2 linked regions of the Tamandua tetradactyla genome follow. The protein of the gene in region 2 interacts with the protein of the main gene of each other region in a pairwise test. Links are inferred from orthologs where the notes say so. Each region holds a gene or a part of one and is shown on either strand. Other genes may lie near its edges.

Region 1 (7,213 bases), on a different chromosome or scaffold from region 2:
CTGGAGGCACAGAAGGGGCCTGTGAGCCTCCAGGAAGCCATCCGGGAACAAGCATCCAGCTACTCCCTCCAGCAGAAGGACCTTTACAATCTCATGGCAGACCTGAGGGACCTGGTACATGCTGGGCCAGGGCAGGGCTCTGGGTCCCAGGCAGGTACTTCCCCCACCAGAGGCAGAGACACAGATATACTTTCAGCTGCTTTGAAAGAGCAGCTCAGCCATTCCAGGCAGGTCCATTCATGTCTAGAGGGTTTACGAGAGCAACTTGATGGCCTGGAAAAGACTTTCAGCCAAATGGCTGGGGTGGGTCAGCTTGCAAAGGCAGCAGCACACCCAAGCCTGATAGAGCCAGCAGATGGGGCACCGCCCAGTTCCTTGCCAGAGGGGAGCATGATCTTGGCGCTGTCGGACATGGGGCAGAGGCTAGAAGCCCGGGTCGACAGGAACACTATCTACAGCACGCTGGTCACTTGTGTGACGTTTGCAGCCATGCTGCCTGTACTCTATCTGCTGTTTAGAAACACCTAGCCCCTAGACTCACCTCCAGTGGGTTTGAGGGGGTCAGTGTGGATATGGATTTAGTTAGAGAATCCAGCAATGAAATGAGCCTTCTGGGGGGCTGAGAGGGCGCACAACTTCAGCCTGAGACTGAGCCCTATCTGTGTGGCTCACCTGAGTACCCAGCAGACTCACTCTCCTTTTTAGGCAATGCTTATGTACATTAATTATCAAACTTTGTGCTAATCTACAATTAAAGTATCTTTGAGTTTGTATTATTTAAAGCAATTTACATCAAACTGATTTTGCCCATTGGAAATTGAGATTCATGACTCAAGGGTTGGGCATGGAGTTAGAGCAATTGCTCCTTTAATACCATCTCATCTTAGGTCCCCTAAGATGGTCAGGCCTGGATTTTCATTTTGTATTTTCTGGCCTGACCTCTGCCTGTCTCATCTTCTGTGTCAAATGGGTTAGGGATCTCAGTGCGTGGAACCTAGCCAGCTGTCCCTCATTGGTGACCAGTTACGTCTCTCTTTTGGATTACTTTCTCTGGCTTGGGGTGGGTGGGGGGTGGGGTTGAATCTCCTGGTACTAACGCTTGAGTAATCAGGATAGCAGGGAAGGATTAGGGAGATGGTTGGTAAATGTTGCTTGGGACGTAATTATAGAGATTGGTGGTTATTTTAGTTTTCTGGCTGCTAAAAGAAATACCATACAAAGGGTTGGCTTAAACAACAGGAACTAATTGGCTCACAGTCCAAAACTGAGGAGTCAGTAAGGTGATGCTTTCTCCTCAAAGACTGTGCTGTTTTGGGGTTGGCTGCAGGTGATTCTTGGTCTTTGGCATTTCTGTCACATGGAAATGCAGATGGCAACATCTTTTTCTCTCTTCCAGGTTCTATTGACTTACAGTTTCTGGCTAATCCCTATATCTTTTCTTTGGTGTCCAACTTTCTTTGCTTATAAGGACTTAACAATATGAGATTAAGGCCCACTCTCATTCAGTTTGGGTGAACCATAAACAATAACATCTTCAGTGGTCCTATTTACAAATTGGTTCACACTCAGAGGACCAGGGATTGGGATCTGAACATGCCTTTTGGGGGGGGACATGAGTCAGTCTCCAATAATGACCAAGCTGGGTCCATGGGGCATTGGACAGCACCACTGTGCTGCTGGGGTGTCTTCCCTCACAGAGACTGGGAATGGCCTTGAAGAGGAGGGGCCTTTCAGAGGTGGGAGGTGCAGAGGGGAGTGAAGGCAGACATCCCTGAGGACACCTGACTTTACCTCTCCCTTTTTGGAGGGGAACAATGACCCTTAATCTCCAGGGCTAAATGGCCTTATATGCCCTTGAGTAAACAGGAGTAGTGGGGAGCACTTGGTACTCATGTCAGTATTGGAGGACTCATGGACTTGGCACATGGTGGAGAACCCAGTGTCCCTTTAGAACACACAGTGGCTGTTATGCAGGTTTGCCTATGCGGAGCTGACTTAGCAGAGGGGCCCTCTGCTCATGGTGCCTGTATTCAGGCTGGGCAGTGAGCATGACCTAAGTGGCTCCATGGGTGTTCAGAATCTCAGAGCATCTGGTTCCTCAGTCATTTGGTCACTCTGTCCTTGGTAGTGTTCTCTGTGTTGTGGTTCCCCAGGATGGCATAGGATAAAATGACCCTTGCATTTGACTGTTCACACTCCTGTGGGGCAAGAGATGATGGGGGTTGTGGGGTTTGTTAGTCTTAAGTCCCCTCTGGGTTGAGATGGATCCTGAACAGTGCATGTTGAGTAAATGGATTTGGAAAGGAGTAGATTCCAAGCACGTGGAGGGGGCCCCCAGAAGGTGCAGAAGCAGGAAAGCCAAGGTGGGTGAGGGACTGGTGGCCAGACTGAGTTGGCTGTAGTGGTGATGGGTGTGGGGCAGTTGTGGAGCATGTTAGAGAAAGGTGGAGGACTTGAAGTGCAGGTTGGGAGGCACCAGGGGTCTCTAAAGTCAGAGGCCAGGTGAAGTAGCCTGGAGGGGCCATGATGCTGGCATAGAAGATATGCTGAGCACCTGAACCAGGTGTTGGAAGTGGGAGTGGTTGGGGAGGGAGGATTTGGAAGAGACGTGTGGTGGATGAGAATGTAGGAGGCCCCTTGATAGGGGTGGGTGGTTGGGAACTGTGTGCCTATGGTGTTGCTCTTGTGGTAGTAGCCAGTGTGGGTGACCCAAATCTCCTGGTTGTGGCACCCCCTAGCTGTGAAGATCCTGAGGGTTTCCAGTGTAATGTGTGTAAGACAGATTTTGCCTCCCAGGAGGATGTCCAGATAGCCTTGAGCCAAAGTCCTCCAGAAGTCCTAGCAGGATGGGCCAGGTCCTGGCTCTCAAGTTTACAGAGCACAGGCCAAGGATATGAAGGGACTGGAAAAGGACACAAATAGGCCTCAAGGAGAAGACCCTTCCACTCTAATGAGGGAGTCCAGATTTGCCCAGCTTCCATGGGGCCCAAGGTCACTTTTTGGGAAAGGACCAGAGTACAGGCCTGAGGGGAAAGAAAGGAAATGTAGTCTAGCTCTGCACCTCTGCACGTTCCCTAGGCTCTCCTTTCCCCCCAGGGTAAGGGTGTGGTATCACCCCCATTTGCAAACGAGTAAATAGGCTTGGGGGTCAGGTTACTTGGCTCAGTGAAGGTGCAAACCCAGCCCAGGTTCTTCCCGCACAGTCAGAGGTGGAGGTGGGGGCCGGAAGGAGGGACTGGTTGTTGGGGAGTCCTGGAAGAAGGGGCGGTTGGGGGCGGTGGGGAGAATCAAAGCTCCCAGGAGTTCAGGTAAAGGAAATTGGGGGATGAAGATTACAGGAGCGAGGTACTGGAAGGGGAAGAGAGGGCTCGGGGCGCTGGGCAGGGCTAGGTGGTGGAGGCTAGCGAACTGGCTGAGCAGGTGAGAGGGGGCGGGAAGAGGCCGGAGCTCTGTACCACCAGAACCTAGGAGTGCGGAGCGACACGCCCCCTGCCGCCCCCCGGCCCCCGGCCCCTCTGATCCCGGGAGAGTTCCTGATTCCGGTTCCAGCGCTGCGCGCAGGTGAGGCCCGGCGGGGGAGGGGCGGGGCCGCGGGCTCCACTCCTCACCCCCCACCCGGTCGTTATCCTCGTTGTCACGGTTACCGCCGCGGTGCAGCCGGTCCCCACTCCCCCACGTGGTGGGGTGAACCCCCGGCCTTCGGCAAATGTCGAGCCCGCGGGGCTGGAATGCGGGATCCCCGGCTGCTCGAGGCCGCGCGCCCGGCTCTCTGGCTGCTTCCGGCCTGGCCCGGGCGGCGGGCTGGTGAGGGGGGGAAGGAGCAGAGCCCGGCCCGGCCGACGCGGCTTTGTCTCCTTTGTTCCCCGCGGTAGCAGCGCCGCGGCGGGAGGGGCGGGCAGCGGGCGCAGTTTTCCGCCCCTCGGTCTCCGGGTAACAGCTGCGGCTCCGCCGGACCCACCTCCGGGGGGCGGGGAGGGGGGGCAAGGCCGCGCGCGCAGATCCCGAGCCCGGAGTGGCCGGCGCCCGCCTCGGCGCGCTCATCCCGCGGGGCCCGGCCGGGCGGTGAGTGAGGCGCACGGGCCCGAGTCCGGGCCCGGGGCTGGGGTGGCGGGGACGGGGACCAGGCCGCGTGCCCCAGAGGTGGAAGGACCCCAGGCCGCGATCCCGGCCAGCTGAGGCAGCCTGGGTGAGTGGTGGGCGTTTCGGATATGTGAGTTGGGACTACACTTCTCCGCGCGAAGAGAAACTCTGGCGGCTGCTCCTGTAACGCGATTGGGAGACAGAGGAGGTGGAGCTGCTCCTCCGCGCCCCCTCCTCGCCGCGGCTGGGACCGGCCGGCCTCTTCCCCGCCCTCCCAGGACCACTGGTGGGGTCCTTATCCCGCGGGAAGAGTGAGGGTGGGGGAATAGCCGAATCGGGAGGTCGAGGCTTTCCTTCGGGCTGCACTCGGCGGGCCTGACAAAGGCGGTCCACCACCCTCCTGCCGCACACCCCAAGAGGGGGGACGCCCCTCACCGTTCACTGACTGTGGGTTATTAATGAGCGCTCCCTGAGTTACCGCGGGCGCGTGGCAAATGGTCCCCCCCCCACACACACACACACCCCACCCCGCAACACACAGAAAACAGGGCGGGCGGTGCGCACCAGTGCGCTGTCAATGAGTAACTTGCCTCCTTGGTGGACGCTGGGAACAGAGCAGAGCAGGAGGACCGAAAAGAAAGGCCGATTTCCCACAAACTCCGGAGACGCGGCAAAATGTGGGCTAGGTGGGAGCTAGATCCTCTGCAGGTGCGCAAGGGCAAAATTTGCCTTCCTTTGGTTGGTGAGAACAGCCCTCGGAGGGTCCTGCAGGTGCTTACTCTTGGCAGATATGTTAGGTAGCCTTGGACCGTGCTGAAGAGGTCCAGAGAAAGACTGCTGAGCAGGTCAGGGCAAGAGTTAAGGCTTTGGCTGTGAGCCTGGACTGGGCCTGAGACCTGGGAGTGGGCAGGAGATCTTGCCTGTGCAAGTGGGAATAGGAGGCCTGGCTCCCAAACCAGCCTCTTCTGTCTGCTCTGGCCTGGTCTTTAATATGAGTGGGAATGATGCCTTGCCCTTTGAGAAGGTCATGGACCTACGTCTCCTGGACTGGCTAGGTTTACTTCGCTGTGAAATGGGGGTTCTTTCAGCATACAAGAAAACACCTGCTCTGTACCAATGTCTGTGCTAGTTGCTGGGGCCTCTGAATGAAACACCACACTTCCTGCTTTGAGCGAGCTTCATGTTCGAAGTAGGAGGGTGGAATGGGAAAAAATGGTCTCGGATAGGTGCTGCTAATTCTAGGCACACAGCATATCATGTTTAATGGTTCAGAGCAGTCCTGCCTCCTGTTGTACACATAGGAAATCTGAGGCCCAGAGAGCCAGAGGCAGAGGTACAATAAGTGCTAACACTAGTCCATCCACACTGAGCTCCCTCCTCAGGGCCTGGGAGGACAAGGAAGGCTCCCCGGGGACAGAGTAGCTGGGTGTGGGAGTTAATGGGATGAAGAGGGAGTGGGCATTCCTGGAGGGGGGAACAGCCTGTGTAAAGGCACAGAGGAGTGAAGCCGCCTGCAGTTCAAGCTGCAGGAACGAAGAGCATGTGCGGGGGAGGGCTTTGTCTAGAGGACTTTGACTTTTATCACTGAGGCCCTGGGGTGCTCCAAAGGCTCTGACGAGAGGGCTGTGCTCAGATTCTGCTTGAGTGAGAAAGATCCCACTGAGATGCTGGGATAGGGTGGGGGTGGGGAGCTAGACTAGAGGGGCTGATGGCTGCTCTGTGGCCTGTGGCAGAGGTTAAGTAAAAATACCATGGCTCACTGCCTACCATGGAGGAAAAAATGCCACTGCCCTTCTTCCTTTCTTCCTCCCCCCACCCAGTGCCCTTCCCTACACATGGTTTGCGGGTGGGCGCTGGGCCCAGTTTCACGAGAACTGTGATTGAAGAAGGCTGACAGCTTTTCTGTAGTGGGCCGTGTAGGTCAGTCTCCGACCTCTGTGGCCTGGCCAGGAACTGTTCTGATCCCGCCTCCTCTTCCCCTGGGCCTCTGGATCCAGTTGTGATTTTACATATGGGGAGTGGTTTGATCGCTCCCACTTGAGGGCTGGAAAACCCTGACCTGGGGTAGGCTCAGAGCAAATGAGGGAGTGTTAGTCTAACAATAGGACCCTCTGCCCCAGGCACATCACTGGGAGTGAGGTGGCTGGAGGGAATGAGCAGTCATTGAGAGCAGGAGGTGGCCTCTGCCCTGCTTAGACAGGTTCTTTTTTTCCCAGAGGGAGAAACTCCCCCCCCATCCCTTGGAAACAAGGTGGGGGCTCCTGGGCAGCCTAGCCTGGCTTACCACTATCCTGGGCTTCTCGCCGGGTTCACCGCTCTCCCTGCCACCCACCCTACCCTGTCCCTACCCCCACCCCCTTGGGTGGCAAACAGAGGCAGCCTTGTTCCTGCTTCCATAGAGCTGCCCTGTTCTCTGCACACTAAAAATGGAAACCCCCAAGCTATTTTGGGAGCCGTGCCCAGCGGGCTGTGGCCATGGCTTCCCTTCTCCCACCGGGCTGGTGGACACTCCTCCGAGCCCAGTGCCCAGCCTGGCCTGGGGAAAGCTTTAGGAGTACCCGCCACAGCCTTGACTGGGATGAGCTGACTTGGGCCAATGAAAGCTCTTGAGAGAGCCTGCTTGGACAGCCTGACAGCTGGGTGGTGGTGGTGGGGGCCGGGTGGCATGACCTGAGCACAGGCAGGTAGACTAAGTGTTGCCCAGCCTAGAAGACATGACCCATGGCAGGACTTTGCCAATCTTGGTGTTCCTAGTTAAGGACACTTGGGGTTTGGGGAAGGTAGTCCTGCCATAGTTTCCTGGTCTCTGGGTCTCAGGCCTCAGCTGGGACCTGTAAGGAGGTGTCAATTAAGAGAGAGGCATCCAAGGTCTGAGGAGGTCTGGAGATGGGCCAGAAATTGGAGACATAGCCAGCCATGGTGACATCCTCCAGGACACCCTCTTTCTCATCTCCTCTCCCACTTACTCCACACCTTGGGCCCTGGCTCTGCTTTGACCTTCTGGACTAGTCAGTCCTGTTGTACATGAGGCTTGAACCAGAGAGGTATCTAAATGTGCAGGGTGGCATGCATATTTGGGGAGTTTGTGTGATGTGTGCCTGTGTGAGGTGCTTGTTTGTGCAATGTGGGTATT
Region 2 (7,423 bases):
ACAGGAGAATACACATTCGTTTCAAGTACACAGGTCATAAAACAAGTCTAAACAAATTTAAAAGCACAGAAATCATAGGGATAATATTTTCTTTATATAAATTAAATTAGAAATCAACAATAAGATACCAAATATTTACAAAATATATATAACTTAAACTTCTAAATAACCATGGGTCAAAAAAACATGCAGGAAATTAGCATACTGGATCTAAATAACAGTGAAAGCACAACCTTAAGGAATCAGATAAAGCATTGCTTAGAGAGAAATTCTTTTCTATTTAAATATAATAGAAAAGAAGAAATATTTAAAATACATTATCTGAAGTTCTATCTTGAAAATAAAAAAAAAGAGAGAGAGAACAGATATTACACCTATTAAGGGAACATGGTAAAGAAATGTTTGGCAACCACTGGTCTATCCCCATAAGAGGAAGTGTTGACATTTGGAAGCATCATTTTTGCAGGTAGTGTGAGGAGGGAAGAAACAGTAAAGCGAGTAGGAATTTGGAACGTGGTGACCAACAGTTGGGCAGACCAGTTATCTTTGGGGGTTCTGGCCTAAGGATTGGGGGAAAAGGGATGGAGGCAGCAGGTCTTTCATTTATTTGCCAACCCGTCCCTGACATAATTTAGGTGAAATTCCTAATTCAGAGTAGATCTTCAGGAGGGTTTTGATTTCTTTTTCCTCTTGCTATTTGCAAACCTATTAATTCAAACACTGCTGGGGTCACAGTCCGTACGGTAGGTAAATATACATATGTATATATTCCTTTCAACCCCAGTCAAAGTGGTGTGAAGAGCAGAGACCCTATGCACACATGCCACTAACAGCCGGACCCTGAAAACCAGCACCTCCCTAGGCCAGAAGTCAAAGTTCACTCTCCAGTCCTCACCAAAGTTTTCTATTTATCTTATTTTTTTAATCACAGCGCTTGGGACCTTCTGACAAATACCCTGTTACTTCGATTTAGAAACCATGATTCTAGCTGAGGAGGTTATGAAAACAGATTTGTCCTGGAAAGTCTTTCCCATCGAGTTCAAATACGTTTCACACGGTCCGGTACTAAGATGCCAAAACCAGCCGGAGGGGCATCTGCTAAGGGTCTTTCTTCCCGTGTAGTCGGTGCGTGTTGGAAGTGGGGGGAGCCACGGAAACGAGGAGGGGGGAGTTTAAAAAGCTCCTGGCCACGCAAGGAGGCCCGATAAATTCCTTAAAAATAAAGATGAGAAAAGCGGTGGTGCGAGGGTGAGCTGAGGACCTGGGAGAGCAGGGGTGATGCCGATGAATGCAAAACGGTAAAACCCGAAGACGTCGGGGCGGGTCTGCGGCTCCGGGCACCGCGGCCGGCGGGGGGGAGGTCAGGCGGGGATAACAAAGCTCGGGGTGCGGAGCGCGAGTACCTACGGGGAAAAACGCGCCCGAGCGCAAGCGGCGAGGCGGAGGGAGGGGCGGCGCGCGGTGCCTCGCGGGGTCCGGACGGGGGTCGCCCGCAGGCCGGGCCTGGAAAAGCCCGGGATGTGGCTAAGCCGGGGGGACCAGCTAGGCCGCGCGGGGAGGCGGGGCCGGCGACCGTGAGGCCGCGGCGGGGACCGACCGGGGTGCGGCGACGAGGGCCGAAGGGGGAAAGGGCGCGCTGAGAGGTCGGGAGCGGGGCCGGCAGACGAGCCCTCGAAGGAGGGAAGGGCGGGCAGCTTCTCGGCCCGCGCTCCCGGCCCGGGCGTGAGAGGAAAGGCCGGCGGGCCGCGCCGCGAGGAGGAGGAGCCTGCGGCCCCGCCCCCCCGCGGGAGCGAGGGCAGGAGAAAGGCTCGCGGGGAAGGCCGAGCGAGGGGAGGCGGGGAGGGGGCGGCCGGCCGGGCCTGCGCCCGAGCGAGCGGCGAGCCGAGGGGGAAGGGGCCCGGAAGGAGGCGAGCGCGGCCGCGACGCCGGGAGCCGGACGCCCGCCGGTGCCGGGCCGCAGCCGCCGCAGCCGCCGCCGCCGCCGCCGCCGCCGCCTTCCCGGCTTGCGCTCGAGCTTGGAGTCCGGAGCGGCCGCGAAGGCCGGAGCGAGGCGGTCGGTGTGAGGCAAGCGGGGCCGGGAGCCCGAGGCCCGGCCGGCGGTCCTGCGCCGAGCACGGTGGGCTCCAGCCTGCGAGCTGAGGAACGGGGCGGAGAGGGAGGAAAAAGCGAGGCCGAGAGAAGCGAGGCGATCGGATTTTCCAGGAGGCTGGTGGGAGGAGAGACCTTCCCCGAACTCAAATCCACAATAATAATCCCAACTAATAATAATAAGGGAGCAGTTTTTCTGGCCGGGCGAGAGGGAGAGAAGGGGGAACGGAGGAAACGAAATCGCCGTTTCATGGAGGCTGAGGCAGGAGAAAATTTCGGAGCCTGGATGTGGAGGAGCAAAACAGCAGAACTAACTCAGGAAATTGTCTTTCAGAAAAAGGCTGAACCTAAGCTGGGTCTGAGAACCAAGCTGGGGTAGGTGGAGAAACCTGCAAGTTTAAAGGAAAAAGAAAAAGAGAGAATATTTTCAGAGAGTCTCTGTTTTTGTGTTTATTGCTTCCATTTTAAAGGTTAAAAAGCACTGCATTTTAACCTTTCAGGTGTTTTTTTTTATTTTTTGTGTGTGCGATTGGCTCATTTAAGAATTTCAAAGCATTTAAAGTGAAAGATCTTTTTTTTTAAAAAAAAGAAATCTATACATTTTTGGTTCCTAAGGTTGCACAGGACTTGGAAGGAGTGCTGTTGTATACATACTATTGTATGGGTTTATTTATTTTTTTTACTGTGCAAATCAGCTGAGATTTCTTACAAGTGCCAATTCGGATTTATTCATCCTTTTTTTCCCCCCCCCCTCTCTCTCTCTCCCTCACATATATCCGTTGTCGTCGTTTTAAGCATTGGAGACCAGAAAATTTGTTTTTCTTTGGAGCTTTAGGCTCCCTTGCCAACAGAAGGACAGCTGGGAAAACTGGATTAAAAGGATGGTTATCTGTATTTTACAGTTAAGACTGATATTTTGAAGTCACATTCTTTCTCTGATTCATTTTTTAGCCCATAGCATTAACCTTGAAGAGATTTGTGGTTGGGGTTTTGGTTTCTAAGAAGGTCGTAGTTTTTCCTCTTTTCCTTTCGTTTTTTTTTTTTTTTTTTAGGAGGGGGAGGGGTAGCGGGGGCTAAGAAAGGAGACCATGTTAACTGATATAAGTAGAATGGAGCTTCAGTTACCAGGGTCCTGAGTGCTGGAGGAAAAAAAGATTCAGTCTTCAAGTTGGGAGGGCCTCCTCTCACGTTGCTTAAAAATTGCAAGTGATTCAGTCCTGTTCAAGACACCAAAAGCTACAGGATTCTGGAACCGTGGAGACATCAAGAAACCATGAGTGTAAGGTTACCCCAGAGTATAGACAGGTAGGTTTGCTAATAATTTGATTTTTCTACACTTACTAAAAGAAAGGCTGGTTGGGAGGGTGTTGCATTTTGATAAAAGGTTACAAAAGAATGGTCTGGGTGGGCTATGGTTTTTAGAATCTGTGGGGAAATGTTGACATAGGAGCATTGGGTCTCTTGGGCCTCTCTGGCATTTGTGTTTATGTTCCCTCTGTGTGTGTCCATGTTCAAAACATACCTTTTGATTCTGTGTTTTAAAATACAAGCCATGAGCAATGAAACCAAGGGAAAGGAGAGACAGGGAAATGCTTTTAGGTACCTTTGACTTGCCAGGCTAGAGGCTGAATTTGGGTCCCCATCTTGCCAAGTGTAGGAGGCAGACGGAAGCCTGGTCATGTGGACTGGGATTGGTTTTAGGTGTTGGAATTGCTAGGGGAAGGGCCCCGGCGGCGGGGGGCGGGGGGGGGGGCATGTGTTAGAAGAGGTGGCTTCAAGTGCAGGCCTCTATCAGGCTGGTTGTTAGGGAATGGTGGGGCTTGTGGATGGGATAAATTCCATTTCTAGAATGAAGAGGATGTTCTTGGACTAAATGATGGTACAAGAAACACCCTTTGCACCTAGACAGGCCTGTGTTTTTACCAGCCGCCCCAAAATGCATAGATCATTTTAAGATTTCTTTCTTTCCAGGCTTAGGGTTTAAATTGAGACTTGCTAGCCAGCCAGTACTCTAGCTTTAATTTTCCCTGCAGTGTTGGATAAATTTGACTCTGCAAAACGGAGCTCCCCTCTGCTTAGAGGAGAAGTTGTTTGGGGCTCTGAGGTCTGATGGGCAGAGGTACTGGCTCCTTGGTTTCTTAGCACATAATCCCCTCCCCCGCCAAGAGTCTGCAAAGCCTCCTCTGTCACTGGTAATATATACCCTGTGTTTGTAATTCTTTGCTCCAAAGGATTGGTACAAACTTTGTAAAGTTTCTGCCTTTTCCTTGCCTCCCTTCTTCCTTGAGGATCTGAGATGGGGTGGGTGGGGAGGGAGTGGTTTGTAGGTGCTACACACATCCTACCTGAATAGATGGGTGCATAGAGGATTGAACAAGCGAATGAAAGGACTGGGCCTGGAAAAAAGTATTTTTAGAGAGATGGGGAAGAACATTTGCAGGGGAGCAATTGCTCTCTCTGAGTTAAGTTAACCTTTGGTTATCCATGCTCATAATAATTTCCTTTTGACTGTGGAATGTAGCCTAAAATGCCCATAATCTCTCCCAAACACTAATCTCTGTATTGCTTCAGAGTCCTGCTTAGATTAGTTCAGCAGTCCGCAGACAGGGATCTGACTTGGCAGTGGAGAGAAGGCAGACAGCTACAAAGGATATAATGTGTATGTGGCGGGTTTGAGCCACCTCCACTCCCTTCTCTGTCATTTGACCCTTGTAAAGGGAGACCTGAGACAGATTGAGGCAAAGAGTTAGATGGTTTACGTCTCCCCACTGGGAATTAGTGCACTTACCTTTTTTGAGATGTGGATGGTGAACTACTACTGTGAATTCAGGGGTGGGGCTGCAAGAAGGAGGAGGCAGTAAGGGTTCCTGGGTTGATGTGGGAAGCTCTTCTGGAGTTTATCTATCCTTACAGTCATCTCAGGATTTGTATAGCGTGGTGTGGTTTCAGAAGTGCTTTTATAGTACATATCTCATTTGACTCTCATCACAGTGTTTATGTGAGATAGATAAATCAAGGTTGTTGCCATTTTACTGAGTCTCAGAGAGGATACCTGACTTGCCCAGTACCATCTTGCCTGATGAATGGCAGAAGCTGGACTCAAACGCAATTCTGATTCTGAACCCATGACTCCTTTTATTACCCCACCCTGAGTAACTTGATTCTTATACTTGTCCTGTACAGTGTCGGGGGCAGGAGGGTCGTCATGTAGAAACATGCGTTGTCATTTTATTCTCTCTCTTTGGCAGTAGGGGAAGATGGTCTTCAGCAATCAAGGTATTCCTTTACACTTTCTGTTTAGTAGTCTGGGGATAAAGCACCATTTTCTTCTGCGGGGTGATGTATCAATTGTCCAGTGAGAGCATTCCTCATTTCCACCATCTCCAAGCTTCTCTTCCAATTTATAGGTTTAGTTCTGGCATCCAGGTCCCCTTCCTTCTGGGTATCTCCAGCTGCATTGGATCTTGATCTGTTAGCTGTAAGCTCATTCTTTTGGACGCTTTGACATCCCAGTTTTATGACCCTATGGAGTTTTAAAATAATTGGCAATCTTACACCATACTGGGGGGATGGAGTGGGAGGAAATGTTACAGATTATGTAGTCAAAGATTCTCTTTTGGTTTGTCGGTTCTCTTTGTATAGAATGTAGTGTAAGGTGTTATAAGAGTGCTTTAGAAAATTAAAATATATAGTTCCTGCTCACAAAGAGCACATAATATAATTGGTGACCTAGGAAACACAAGAGACCACATAATACAACGCTAGACTGTAATCTCCATGAAGGCAGGGACTGTTTGGTTTACTTTGTTATATCCAATGTGCTTAGCTCAATGCTTCACAGGTGGCAGGTGCTCAATAAATATTTGACAAGTGAATGCTGGAATGAACATGTGAGCAAGTATAAATTCTTCCATTTCAGACTGTTTCAACATTCGTGAGTTAATTTCAAATATAGTTCAATAAGGTCAGTTAAAGAAGGCTTCCAGATGAGGTGCATTTCCTAGAAACTAAGTGACAAGTTGAGGACCCTGTATATGGGGAGGTATTGTGGCTCAGAGTAAAGAAGGCTTTGGAATATTTATTTGACAGAGTTTTTTTTTTTTTTTCAACTCTGACTTCTGGGTTCATAGAAAGCATTAATTATTAATTATGGCTAGTCCTTATATTTTAATCATACTGAAAGATGATAGGCTAAAGTGTAATTAATTAGTGTCCTTTCACATTTTGTCCATGGACAAATTTATTGCCCACTAATATATTTTCCTTTCAAGAGTTTCTCAAACTGTGTTTGGTATTACAAACAGAGATATTGTTTTTACAGGAGTGGTCATGAGTTTCACTTATTTGTCTGTATACAGGTGTCTAGTTCCTTATGTTAAATGATTTTGAGATGGCCAATCTGGTTATGTGTTTTGCATCTATGAAACAGCTTTTCTCTGTGCAAAGTTAGAGAGTTTATGTGAAGACCAGACCACACAGCGCCTTAGAGAAGTACTAGATTTAAGCCAAGAGTTCTTGATTTGAGCCGTGGCTTTACCCTTTAACTGTGTGACCTTGGGCAAGTTACTTTACCCTCTCTGGCTCCTAACTGTGAAGCAGTGGCTCATTCATGCAAAGTACTTTCCAGTTTACAAATGTTTTCATATAGTGTCATTTGAAGATTATAATATTTATCCCACCTTTCTCATGGAGCTGTTGGAAGGAATGGAACAAATGAGATAAAATATTTCAGATTGCTTTCCAAACCATAAAACTCAGTATAAATTTTAGAAGAGAACCTCACGAACCTAATTTAAGCTTCATGCACTACTTTGTAGCCCAGAACAAATTAAGGAGGCTAAAATATCTTTCCCTTAGTTTGAAAAATTTAAGGAAAGTAAACAGACTTTATGGATGCAAGAGTGAATGGGGTTAGTAAGAAAGAATACTATTCCAGTGGTCAGGGTTGGGTGGTGATACCAGAAGAAAAGTGGAAGGTTATTGAATCTCCTTCCTGGGAATTTTAACAAACGAGGGAGACTTCAGCTGTCCTTAGCTCACTTAGATGTCTTTCAGTGATGGGGATGGAAAGGATTTGTTCTGGCCTTTCCTTGTCTTAGAAGCATGACTTTACTAATTCAAAATAAACCCAGACCCAGCAATTGTTCTCTATCAGAGAACTGAGATCAAATGTAACCTTTCCCCAGTCTACAGCCTTTCTTTCTATGGAAGGCAAAATCTCACATCCGGTAGTGGGTGGGGAAGGGAGGGGAATGAGAGGCCTGTCCTAGGAAAGAGCTCTCAGGCGGAGGGAAAGATGGGTAGAAAAGAGCTGCAGAGGCAGATTTAAGTAGCT

What was found. The genes of interacting proteins can lie anywhere in the genome.
Region 1: the proteins of ARHGEF11 (region 2) and PLXNB1 interact in a two-hybrid assay, tested with the Homo sapiens proteins (2 studies listed by BioGRID). The link is inferred for Tamandua tetradactyla from reciprocal best matches to the Homo sapiens genes ARHGEF11 and PLXNB1.

Annotation. Positions count from the first base shown.
Region 1 is NC_135341.1:37,864,592-37,871,804, forward strand, and holds the start of PLXNB1 (plexin-B1), read left to right. Parts: upstream 1-4,210; 5' UTR 4,211-4,755; coding exon 4,756-4,788; intron 4,789-7,213. Other genes in the region: CCDC51 (mitochondrial potassium channel), read left to right, coding at 1-528. UniProt on the Homo sapiens protein: Receptor for SEMA4D. Plays a role in GABAergic synapse development. Mediates SEMA4A- and SEMA4D-dependent inhibitory synapse development. Plays a role in RHOA activation and subsequent changes of the actin cytoskeleton.
Region 2 is NC_135330.1:10,069,325-10,076,747, reverse strand, and holds the start of ARHGEF11 (rho guanine nucleotide exchange factor 11), read left to right. Parts: upstream 1-4,406; 5' UTR 4,407-7,423. UniProt on the Homo sapiens protein: May play a role in the regulation of RhoA GTPase by guanine nucleotide-binding alpha-12 (GNA12) and alpha-13 (GNA13). Acts as guanine nucleotide exchange factor (GEF) for RhoA GTPase and may act as GTPase-activating protein (GAP) for GNA12 and GNA13.